Linked DNA regions of Xenopus tropicalis. The protein of the gene in region 3 purifies or fractionates together with the protein of the main gene of each other region. This does not show direct contact. Links are inferred from orthologs where the notes say so. Each region holds a gene or a part of one and is shown on either strand. Other genes may lie near its edges. The genes, in order: med13l, med16 and cdk8.

What was found.
Region 1: the proteins of cdk8 (region 3) and med13l purify together in Homo sapiens (affinity purification with mass spectrometry; 6 studies listed by BioGRID and IntAct, counting the BioPlex papers as one, with this or other methods). This does not show direct contact. The link is inferred for Xenopus tropicalis from reciprocal best matches to the Homo sapiens genes CDK8 and MED13L.
Region 2: the proteins of cdk8 (region 3) and med16 purify together in Homo sapiens (affinity purification with mass spectrometry; 10 studies listed by BioGRID and IntAct, counting the BioPlex papers as one, with this or other methods). This does not show direct contact. The link is inferred for Xenopus tropicalis from reciprocal best matches to the Homo sapiens genes CDK8 and MED16.

What each region holds. Positions count from the first base shown.
Region 1 is NC_030677.2:145,408,429-145,412,083, reverse strand, and holds part of med13l (mediator of RNA polymerase II transcription subunit 13-like), read right to left. Parts: coding exon 3,585-3,655; intron 2,438-3,584; coding exon 2,101-2,437; intron 776-2,100; coding exon 556-775; intron 31-555; coding exon 1-30. UniProt on the Homo sapiens protein: Component of the Mediator complex, a coactivator involved in the regulated transcription of nearly all RNA polymerase II-dependent genes.
Region 2 is NC_030677.2:100,796,129-100,799,783, reverse strand, and holds part of med16 (mediator of RNA polymerase II transcription subunit 16), read right to left. Parts: coding exon 3,443-3,655; intron 2,683-3,442; coding exon 2,577-2,682; intron 2,444-2,576; coding exon 2,288-2,443; intron 2,196-2,287; coding exon 1,987-2,195; intron 1,430-1,986; coding exon 1,223-1,429; intron 746-1,222; coding exon 535-745; intron 226-534; coding exon 92-225; intron 1-91. UniProt on the Homo sapiens protein: Component of the Mediator complex, a coactivator involved in the regulated transcription of nearly all RNA polymerase II-dependent genes.
Region 3 is NC_030678.2:155,758,992-155,762,746, forward strand, and holds the end of cdk8 (cyclin-dependent kinase 8), read right to left. Parts: intron 1,420-3,755; coding exon 1,294-1,419; 3' UTR 459-1,293; downstream 1-458.

The DNA.
Region 1 (3,655 bases), on a different chromosome or scaffold from region 3:
AGTCTGCAGAAGAGAATGGCAGGGAACCACCTGAAAAAGAGAGTAGGGTAAGATATTGTTGATGACCACAAATTTTTAATTAAATACAAGGATGCTAAACATTTATGGTAGACCCCCAAGTGAATTCAGTCAGTAAGTTTTTTCCCCAGGCTAGTGCTCTTTTTAGGAAAAATAAGAGAAGCACCAGCCCAGGGAAAAAAGTAGCAAAGCTCCACCATTTTACTTGCTATTCCCAGGTGTCCCTGGCACAAACTTAGACTCATGCATGAGCAGTAGAGTACAATACGAACAGTTTTACTCGACACATCTGCGTGTCTATGTCTGCTGACAGTTGCCTGGGAAAATAGTAAAATGTCGACAAAGTTGCCGTACAATATGGGTGCCACTGTATACAGATCTTTTAAATAATAATCATTTCTTTGCCACCACCCCCCTATATTATAAGTGTCACTGCAAGCAAGCGCGATTCAAGTCTTGAGAAAAGTCTTATAAAAGCTCTATGTGAAAAGCACATAAAGGTTATGGTAACACACATAAAAAACAAACAATGTTTACCTGAAGTATGCAAGCTGATCGAAGTGGCTCTGGTAAACTCTCCAGCATGTCAGTAAAACATCTGATCAGGCCAAGCATCCAGTAGTTCCCAGGGTGGCAGTCTTCATCCACTGTGTATGTAAATGGATCCACCATGTATATAACTACTGTTGGACAAGAACTGAGTGCTCCAGCTGGTTCTGGTTCTGTGGGAATGCCAATTTTCTCCCGCTCAGTGGCACTGTTAATGTAAAAGAGACAATACAAGCTGTATATTATATGTTTAAAAATCCTTCTAAATTAAACAAAGCAAAATATCCTTTGAATCATAAAAATATTTGACAGGATTTTACTAATATTATTATTAAAAAAGTCTATTTACAGTGCATATAAAAGAAAAAATAAGCAATACAAAAATACTAAAAACGAATACATGTATGTATGTATAACTTTATTTATAAAGACCCAAAAGGGTACGCAGCGCTGTACAATCTTACAATACACAGAATTACACAGAAGGAGGACAAGTGATATAATAAATAAATACAATAAATATATAAATGCACAGGGAATAAGTGCCATGTGGTATGAGACACAGTAGGAAGGAGGTACCTGCCCCGTAGAGCTTACAATCTAAGTGGTTGGGTAACATACAAGCACAAATTGGAAGGTAAGAGTGCACCAGGTATGGGCATTTTCCCTTAAGCGCAGGACTAGGCAAAATGTTTTAGTGCTCCAGAAGGTAACAGCTGAGCTTTTTCTTAAAGAGAGTGGGTGAGAGTTCCCTATGGAGGGATTCAGGGATAGAGTTCCAGAGGTAAGGAGCAGCAAGACAGAAAGGTTTAAGACGAGAGAGCGCAGTGGGTGTGAATGGTGTAAAAAGACGGAGGCTCTGAGAGGAGCGGAGGTGACGACCAGGAACATGCAGGGAGACCAGTGAAGAAATGTAGCGAGGAGCAAAGGAGTGAAGGGCTTTGAATGTTAGGATTTTGTAAGCAATCCTTTGCTTAACAGGCAGCCATGCAAGAGAGCTTAAGTGAGGCTGAACAGGTTCCCTCTTTGGAGAGAGCAGAAGGATCCTGGCAGCAGAGTTTAAGATTGATTGCAGGGGAGAGAGGTGGGAGTCTGGGAGGCAAGTTAGTAGGAGATTGCAGTAATCTAAGCGGGAAAGGATAAGGGCAATTTCTGCTGAAACATGCTACTGTCTTTGGAGTCATGTGGGATACTGCATAGAAAGCCTTAAAAGCTTTTTGCTGCTACTGCTAATCAGGCCCAAAGTGAAGACACATAAACATGCATATATATGTCAGCAATAATTTAGTGATGCCTAATGTGTATGAATCTCTAGGTACAGGAGTGAATTGTCTGACTTACTGACTGCAGTGGAAATGTCAGTGTTCTCTCACCCAGTTTCAAAAGTACATTTTTACAGTTCTTACAAAGCTTCTTTTTTTGTTTTCCATATCCCCTTCTAAGAACTGACTACCAGGTTTTTCATATAACTGCTGTTGTGTTGGGCAAGAAGTCAAATATTTAATTTCATTTTAATACAGCATCTGTACTTACTTTTCTGGGGTCTCTTGCTGCATGGACTGCTGGCTAGGCTCTGGGTCTCCTGTGGTCTGGTTTCCTAATGGTCGCTCCACAATACTTGAAGTGTTCTGTGATGGGCAGTTATTGAACCCAGTGGGTACTGTGCTGTTTCCAGCAGGAAGAGATGTGGAGGAGGATAGAGGTGGTGGTGGTAAAGGAGTAGTACTTGTGCCATTAGGAGTGGTGTTAAAAAGAACACCAGTAGGACAAGACGGCACAGCTGGGCTTGAGCTGGTTTGTACCGTAGGTGGCTGGTTCTTAGGAGGTAATAACAGGCTGCTGTCTAGTTGCAATGTGGATAAGTAAGGAGCTAAAACAGAAAAAGACAATGGGCATTAGCAAAACTTACACATCCATGTCATAACATCAATGTAAGGTTCCAGCTAATCCCTTTTGTACAGCGCATATAATAAACAGCAATTGTGACTTTTTATTTTCCTCTCGTGTTTATTAAAAGAGTTATAGTAACTACAAATTACAACTATGGGATCTATTATTCAGAAACCCATTATCCAAAACGCTGAAAAAGAAGCAATGAATTTGCCCACAGTACTTTATTTTAACAAACTACAAACGGTCCACTTTTGCTTAATGTGCTAGTTCACAATAGTATAACAAATGGCATAATGTTAAGGAGTCAGCCCACCGACAAAAATTTTTTTTACATTATCACATGGTGGAGTGAGAGTGGTTCACACCTTTAGTCAAACTCAACCCCCTTTCCCCTCCATCACCTGCTGATGGTGAGCGGCAAAAGGTCAGAAATATCCTTTCTAAATATTAGAGAAAAAAGGTGATCGGTATTCTGTGGCATTATATTAACAAACACATATACTGTTACAAGGTGCAGGTATGGGATCAGAGTTATCTGGAAACCTGTTATTCAGAAAGCTCAGATTTACGGGAAGGCAGTCTCCCATAGACTCCATTTTAAGCAAATAGTTAAAAATTTTTAATGTACAGTACCTTGTACTTGATAGCGACTAATTATTAATCCATATTGGTGGGTTTAAATAATGTTTAAATTATTTTTTTAGTACAAATCTAAGTTACAGAAAGACCCCTTATGCTGAAAACCCCAGGTCCCAAGCATTCTGGATAACCGGTCCCAAAACTGTAATTGTATTTGAATCACCTCACAAGTGCTTGTCAGGTTTTTGTTGCCTATATATAACATGGCACTCAAATTGCCTGAAACCAGCCTCTGCCCCACACCTCTAAAAAAAAATAAATAACCTGGACCATTATTAAAACAAAGATCAAGCTGGTTTTTACAGCCCCACACCTCTAAAAAAATAAATAACCTGGACCATTATTAAAACAAAGATCAAGCTGGTTTTTACAGTGGGTTGGAAAACAGCGAGAGAACCTCACAAACTGTTTTATCAAAAAAATAAAGAATAATGGACAAAAACTAAATCTGGTGCAGTATGCAGATGGGAAGTTATCTGGCTCACCAAGATGCTGGCGGCAGGTCTGTGCAAATAGCTGGAGCCTTGCTTGGTTATCCATCTCCTCACAAGACGTT
Region 2 (3,655 bases), on a different chromosome or scaffold from region 3:
CAAACCTCACTCAGTGCATAAAGAAAGTTTTGTTTTTCAAAAAGGAAAAGTATCCAGCCAATGCAGTCAACTAAAAATCAAAAAATTTTACCTGATTTGGTAGGCTGGCCAGCAGATAAAGTACAAAATCACCAAGCCACTGTATAAGCTGCTGAAGTGACTGAAGGGTTGGCATGTCCAGCACAAACTCTTCTGTCTTCAAGTTAATCATAACCTTGTCTATATCTGTGTAGAGAGAGAGAATGTACAAAAGTATACATTATATACTTGGTGGGTCAGATCGGGCTGATGTTTGAGCCCTAAACCAATAACCAGATTATAACGGAGCCTATGGAAATCAGTTGGAAAATGACCAATATATGATCAATATTTAAATGTGGTCATTGTATGAATGAAATTTTTAAACCTCTGGTCGGTTGTCACTACCATACATGGGCTAATTAGCAATCAACATTGCCTGAAGAGCGGAGACAGCAGCTTTTCTCTGCCTGTGTATGATTATTTCATCAAAGGATTTCTATTCCTGCCACTCACCAGTATCGGTGAACTTGTTGCAGATCTCAGTAAGCCGATCTCCAGGACTCTTGTCAGGAGTATTGAGAACATGAGGACGAAGTAGAGATTTTAAGGTACAACTGATAGAGATGAGGAAGAGCTTTGCATGATAATCACAGACACGAGTTACAGTGGTTTGAGACAGCTTACATAGAGACGCCTTCATGGCCAGAATCCGAGTGGAAAGAACCTAACACGACAAGATCAGAGATGTTACATATTGGTACTCTAGTAAATGGCAATGTCTAATTTAAGCCCCATCTTAATAAAGAAAGAGAACCATCTACTGCAGATTATTGTGTTTCGACTACTCCCACTATAAAAGCAGCAGCTACCTCCTCCTCACTTCCTGATATTCTAATAATTTGAGCTGTAGGCCTATATACTAACAGAACATTACAGAGGCAGTCATATTGTGTATGGTTCCTTGTATAATTATTCCAATACTGTGTGTAGTCATGGCATGTATGTCCACTTTAAAAAGCAAGAGAGTAGATGAAACTAATATTAAAGCTAGGTAGTTTCAGCAGAGGGGTTTTTGATCAATTAAATAGTATTTATGTAAGTGCATGTTACTAATATAACATCTCTACACATAATATCTCCATATCTGTGGTCTATAAACACTATGATCTATAAGGCCACTGCACCTCTGCATGGCATTTACCTGTTGAAGTGCCGCATTCTGCCTAGTGTATTCCTCGTTTAACTTTTCCACTAAATTATGTACCATGCCAGGCTGAACATGGAGCAGTATATCCCACCAGTCATATCCAGTCACCATGCAGTATTCCAACAAGAAAAGCAGGTGACGTAGGGATGTTGACATATCCAAGGAATGCCCCATAGAAGGAGAGACTCGTAGCATACTTAGCTGTGGGGAAAGATCAAAGGTCACACAAATACAACAGCACCATAAAGAAATTCACTGTGATTATATGGGCCAGGATTTTTTGTAATATCAGTTTAATCATATTCTTTGATGCCAGTGTCTTTGTTTTAGTGTAGCAAAAGGCTGTGATGTAACTAGAAGTTACTGGGCACCATAAAATAATAAACATAAATTAGACTCCACTCAACATTGCAAATTTATAAAAACTATTTCAGTGTCCTAGAAAGCTATCAATATCAACTGGGTCCTCCAGCAGTCACTGGTGTTATGTTTTAAATACATCTATGGCTGAGGTGCAAACTGATCTTATCATTTTGTATTATTCATAAAGGCACCGTTTTTGAATTTTAAATATATTTACGATTATGCTTATGCTACAGATAACTGTAGATCAATTTAACCTCTAACACCAAACTCTACTACCTGACCCATCCTTACTGTTTTTATACCATCAAAATTGTTATTTGGGGCTTTTTTTTAAAACAGAACACTGTCATTCCGACCTGCCTAATATTAGCAGTAAAATCTTTAACGCTGACCTTGCCCTGTGTATCTAGCCCAACCAAAGCAAGCGAGGTCCACGACATCTGCAAAGCTTTAAAATGAATGCAAGGGGTAGGCGAACGCTGCCGTTTTAAGCTGGGTTCCTCAGAAGGCCGCAGAGATGATCCATACAAAACTGCCATTGGCTGCAGGGAAAGTCTATGAACAATCTGAACATTTCCATCATGGAATGCCAATGCTAGACCTGTAAAAACAGTGATTGATTAAGTGTCTTAAATAAAAGAAGTGTATCCAATTTCTTTGCAGATCAAAATAAACTAGTGGGTAATAACTTACCAAGCCCAGGGTAAAACTTGGTTTCACTTGCAACCTTGATGTCAGTATTTGTGAGAGAAATTGGTAGCTTGGGCAGAGCCACAGCAGAAACACGCTCTAACTCATTGGTGGCTGAGAGGATACGCCACTTCAGGATCATGGGCTGCTTGTCACTTACTGCAAGAGTGAAAGGTGTTTTAGGCTTGAGAGGAATGTGGAGAAATTATGCAATGATACATTTTGGAGTAAGTGAAGCATCTAACTGAGGATAAAATGTTTAGGAGTAACAGGAAGATATTAAAATACTTACCTGCAGGGGATAGCTGCTGGAATATATTATTAAGTGGAAGACCCTCTTTCCGAAGAGACCAGCACTCAGCTATGCTGGAACACTGATTGGAAGCACAGAGTAAAACCTAAATCAGATGGACAAAACACTGTAAGTTCTGTGTGTCCAAAACATTTATTTATCCTTATCCTTTAGTCCTTAATGCTGATGCCTTTAAACGACAAGCAAAGGTTTAATCACCAGGGATGCCAATTTGACACCCCTCAGTGATTATAATTGCTTGCCTCAGACACTGGGCTGGTGCTCCTTTTCACTGAAAAATGCACCAGTCTAGGGAAGTAGTCTAGTAGCACTGCTCTGCTATCTTCTTTGCTGTCTTTACTTCAGCCCTGGGCTGTGCACATGCGCTACTGCTCTACAGTTCATGTTCACAGCCCATACCAGCTCTTGTGTATTCTCCTTTAAGCTGTTCCCTTCAAATTCAAATACATGAAGATTTTTTTTATTATAGTTACCCTATATTCCTATAGTAAGAACTTAAACCACAATGAATCAGCACGGGTGGGCCCCTTAGGTCATTACTAAGTTAATGATAAACAGAAACATTGGCGAAGCAGTCACCCTGCTATAGTTTCAGGGCAACAACTAAGCATGTACTCCCAAATCTCACCCTCAAATTAGCCTCCCTACTATGTACTGAAGCCCTCTGGTTTAAGGGAACTAAAGGTCCCCATACACGGTAAGATCCGCTCGCTTGGCGAAATCACCAAGCGAGTGGATCTTCCCCCGATATCCCCACCTACGGGTGGGCAATTTCAGGGAGCTTGAAGTTAAAAAAAAAAAATAATCCGAACGTTTACCCACCCCGTAACAACTTTTCTTCTCACCTGTTCAGACATATCCCGCGCAAGGAATTTAAGGTGCGTCACAGCTGGGAACTTGTCCTTGCGTGCAGGGTCAGTTGTACAGCGCATAAAGAGAGAAGGAAGTATCTCTGTGTCGATTTTGCACTTTTCACTTACTACAGAAACACAAACTTTGTAGAACTGTACTGGGGATGTGCTGCTCCCATCACATGTGGCCACAACAATGTTTCCACC
Region 3 (3,755 bases):
ACTCTCTGGAGCAGCCCAAAGTCGCCTCTCTGGGTTTCTTCGCAACATGTAGGTCTCCCTTTAAACATCTCCAATTTATACAGCATCACACTGAAAAAAACACAAAAAAAAACCCCCAAAAAAACCCCACACACAGATTGTTTTATGAAAAATAAATTTATTACTTAACACCTTGCGTTAACAATGTTGAATTCTTTTTTTTTTTTTTAATCAGAATACTTGTCATTAATGTAAAATAGTCTGATACAGTACATTGTATGTTACAGTTTTGTATCCTTGTAAATTCTAAGGCCTTTCTACCTTTTATTCTCCAACAGAGACGACCCTATGGATGAGGGGCGGGGCCACAAAATGAAAAAGAGGGAGTTGAATTGAAATACACTACACCAAGCCAGCTTACAGGATCCGGACAGGCGCCTCGACCCTCGCGAGGCAATTATTTCATTACCAATTTTTTCTTTTTTTTCTGTTTTCACTATTTTTTTTTTGCTTTTTATTTAGTCAGAACTCCATAGCATGCTCACAATTCAGCAACACCAACAGGGGGGAAAAACAAAACAAACAAAAAAAAAGTTGATGATGATCGGTTGCCCTTGTTTGCCTCTGCAAACAGGTTGGTATATTTAATATCAGATAGCAGCTTTAATACTAGTCAAGTTAAAAAGTCCTTAAAAACCTATGCTGAAATAGAATCTTTGGGAGGCTCGTAAAGGGGAAATAAAGGCCAAACGTTGCTTTTTTTTCGTTGTTGCTTTTTGTTTAGGGGGAAGGTGTCGGAGGAACAAGATTTGCTGGTTATAAAACACTGATGGAGGTGATCATCTGGTATCACCTGAAAACTATACAGAAAGAAACGTGTAGCAAACAGAACAGCAGTACGATTTAGCGTGCTGGTTAATGTCCATACCAGAGAAGACCGTTTCTTATTGGTCAGATCATATTGTGAGAAGTCACCATGAAAAACAAAGTGTTTGTTCCTAACATACTTCACAGCTTCAACTGCTACCATCACTGAAGAGAATATGCATTGGTCAGTTTGAACCATATTCAAGTAAACTATGGAAGTAGCAAATCCACGACTGCGCCAACTGAGCTAGCACTCTTAACCTTCACATGGGGGGGGGGGGGGTCTACATTCTCTGAAATGTTGTGTAACTTGGCTGCTGGACATTTTGAAGGTGTGGTTGTACAGTACATTCCAAAGCCAGGCTTCAGGCAGACAGCTACATGCTCAGTCCTGCAGCCAAAGCAACAGTGCATTGACTTTGTGATGTTGTTTCCCTTGGGTACAGCTCAGTACCGGTGGGTCTGATGGGAGTACTGCGGAGGCTGCTGGGAGGTAGACGAATACCCCATGCTGCTCTGAGGTTGTGATGTGCTTGGTCCAGGGTTTTGATAAGCAGCATGTGGATTGGAACGCTTCAAGGAAAAGTAAGATCACAAGGGAAAAAAAAGCTGTTATTTAAAAAGAATGGGGGGGATTGGGGCTCTATAGAACTGATAAAACAGATGATAATACAGAGTACATGTCTATAAATAATAATTCCATTCCTATAATGGACATTTAAATGCTATGGGTATTGAAATGTCAATCACAGCAGAGACAGCAGGCACTGAAGCAGAAAAATAACAATACTGCATATGTATTATTGCATTTTGTTCAAGTGTTGGCCACTGACGGCTGTATTTAGTCCTGCCCTAGGCACCAACCTCAGCCTGCCATCTCTGCCCTTTCACTGCCCAGTGTCTCAGGCTGTGGAGATTGTTTACCCCATGTCTTCTGTTTACCATATAGGTGCCCAAGGGCCACTTATGGTAAATACGGCCCTGTCGGCATGGGACAAGTAACCATGAGTGCTTTAAATGCAGTGCACCCTGAAAGCATGTAAAAGGGCAAGTTCACCTTTAGGCTACCTTTTAGTATAGAAATATTATATTATATCTCTATTATATCTCTTTTTGTTTTGGCAACAGTTGCATTCTTCTTCTGCTTTTCTTTCAAATGGGGGTCATTGCCCCAATCAGCCAAAAACATATTGCTCTGTGAGGCTACAATGTTATTGTTACTTACTATTTTGACTTATCCTTCATCTATCTCAGTGCTGTCCAACTGGCGGCCCCCCTCTGTGTGGCCCCCCACCTGTCTGGCTGCTTTGATGGTTTACCCTTGTATAAGCATTAAATGGTATCAGTACTGAGATTAACTGCCCCCTGCATGGTTCTCACCTCAGATTCAGGCTGTAATCCCCCTGTATTGTTTAAATATGTAATCCCCTGTACTGTTCACACCTTTTAATCTATGCATTGTTTACCCCCTGCAGTGTTCACACCTCAGGCTCAGGCTGTAATCACCCACATTGTTCACCTCTTCACACCTCAGGCCTGTGTGTAGGCAGCATAGGGTAGGCAGAGTATGGCACATAGGCAGCATGGGGCAGGGAGGGTATGGCACAAACAGGCAGCATAGGACAGGGAGGGTATTGAACACACAGGCAGGGTAGGGCAGGCAGAGTATGGCACACTCAGGCAGGGTAGGGCAGGCAGACTATGGCACACACAGGCAGGGTAGGGCAGGCAGACTATGGCACACACAGGCAGGGTAGGGCAGAGTATGGCGCACACACAGGCAGCATATGGCAGGTAGAGTATGGCACACAGGCAGGGTAGGGCAGAGTATGGCACACACAGGCCATGGGTGGGTGTGGTTTAAAGGGGGGAGTGGCTTCCATTAGTGGCCCTCCGCCATGTATGCGCGAGAAATTCCGGCCCTCGGCACCGCAGAAGTTGGACAGCACTGATCTATCTTATTCAGGCGCTCCTTTATTAACCTTGCAGTCTCTGCTATAAACCACTGTTGCTAGGCTTAACTGGACCCTAGACATTCTAAACTGGAGATGTGCTGCACTAATGCTAAATAATTCAAAAACCATAAAGGGAAAAAAAAAAACAAACTGAAGATCCACAGCAAATTGATGAATAAAAGTTAAAGCTCAATGATCTGTCTCTACTCTCTGCATTCAGAAGCGGCCAAGTAAAGCAGAGAACTGTATTTCCATTCTATTTCCAGTTAGTGCACTCTTGCCCAAATGCAGGGTGAATACAATGAACTCCAAGGCTCAGGAGCTCAGTTACCCGCAATGACTCTCTGTAAATCAAAATAACAAAGTGCACTAAGAGGAAAAACAACTGCTTTACTCATATCAAAATTACCTAGGGTTCCTATTTTTGTACTGAAAATGTGGTTTCCATGTGCAAGTGTAGCTTATAGATTTATTCCTACCATAAAAGAGCCAGAAAAAATACTTCCTTTAAAGTGGATGTAGAACAAAGCATTTAGTGGCATATTTATTATAGTGTTTACGCCAACATGACAGGTGATGTTGCCCATACCAACCAATCAGATCTTTGCTTTTGTTTTGTAACTTGTAGGTGACTGGTCAAATCTAATTGCTGATTGGGTGCCTGGGGAACACCACCGCTGATGTTGGCTTACACACTATACAAAAAAAAAAAAGTCCCTAAGGGACTTATGTAATAAAAGGCCCAGGAGCAGTAACATATAGCAACCAATCTGCAGGCAGCTTTTACTGGTTACTTGTTTAAAAGCAAACATCTTATTGGTTGCCATGGGTTACTGCTCTTGGGCAAACTCTGTGCCTTTAATTACATATGGGGGTTAGTGTCGAGCACAGCGGCCCCCATGCAAATAGGTGCTGCAGTAAAGTGGCTATACAGTCCCACAGTGGTTCTGTTTG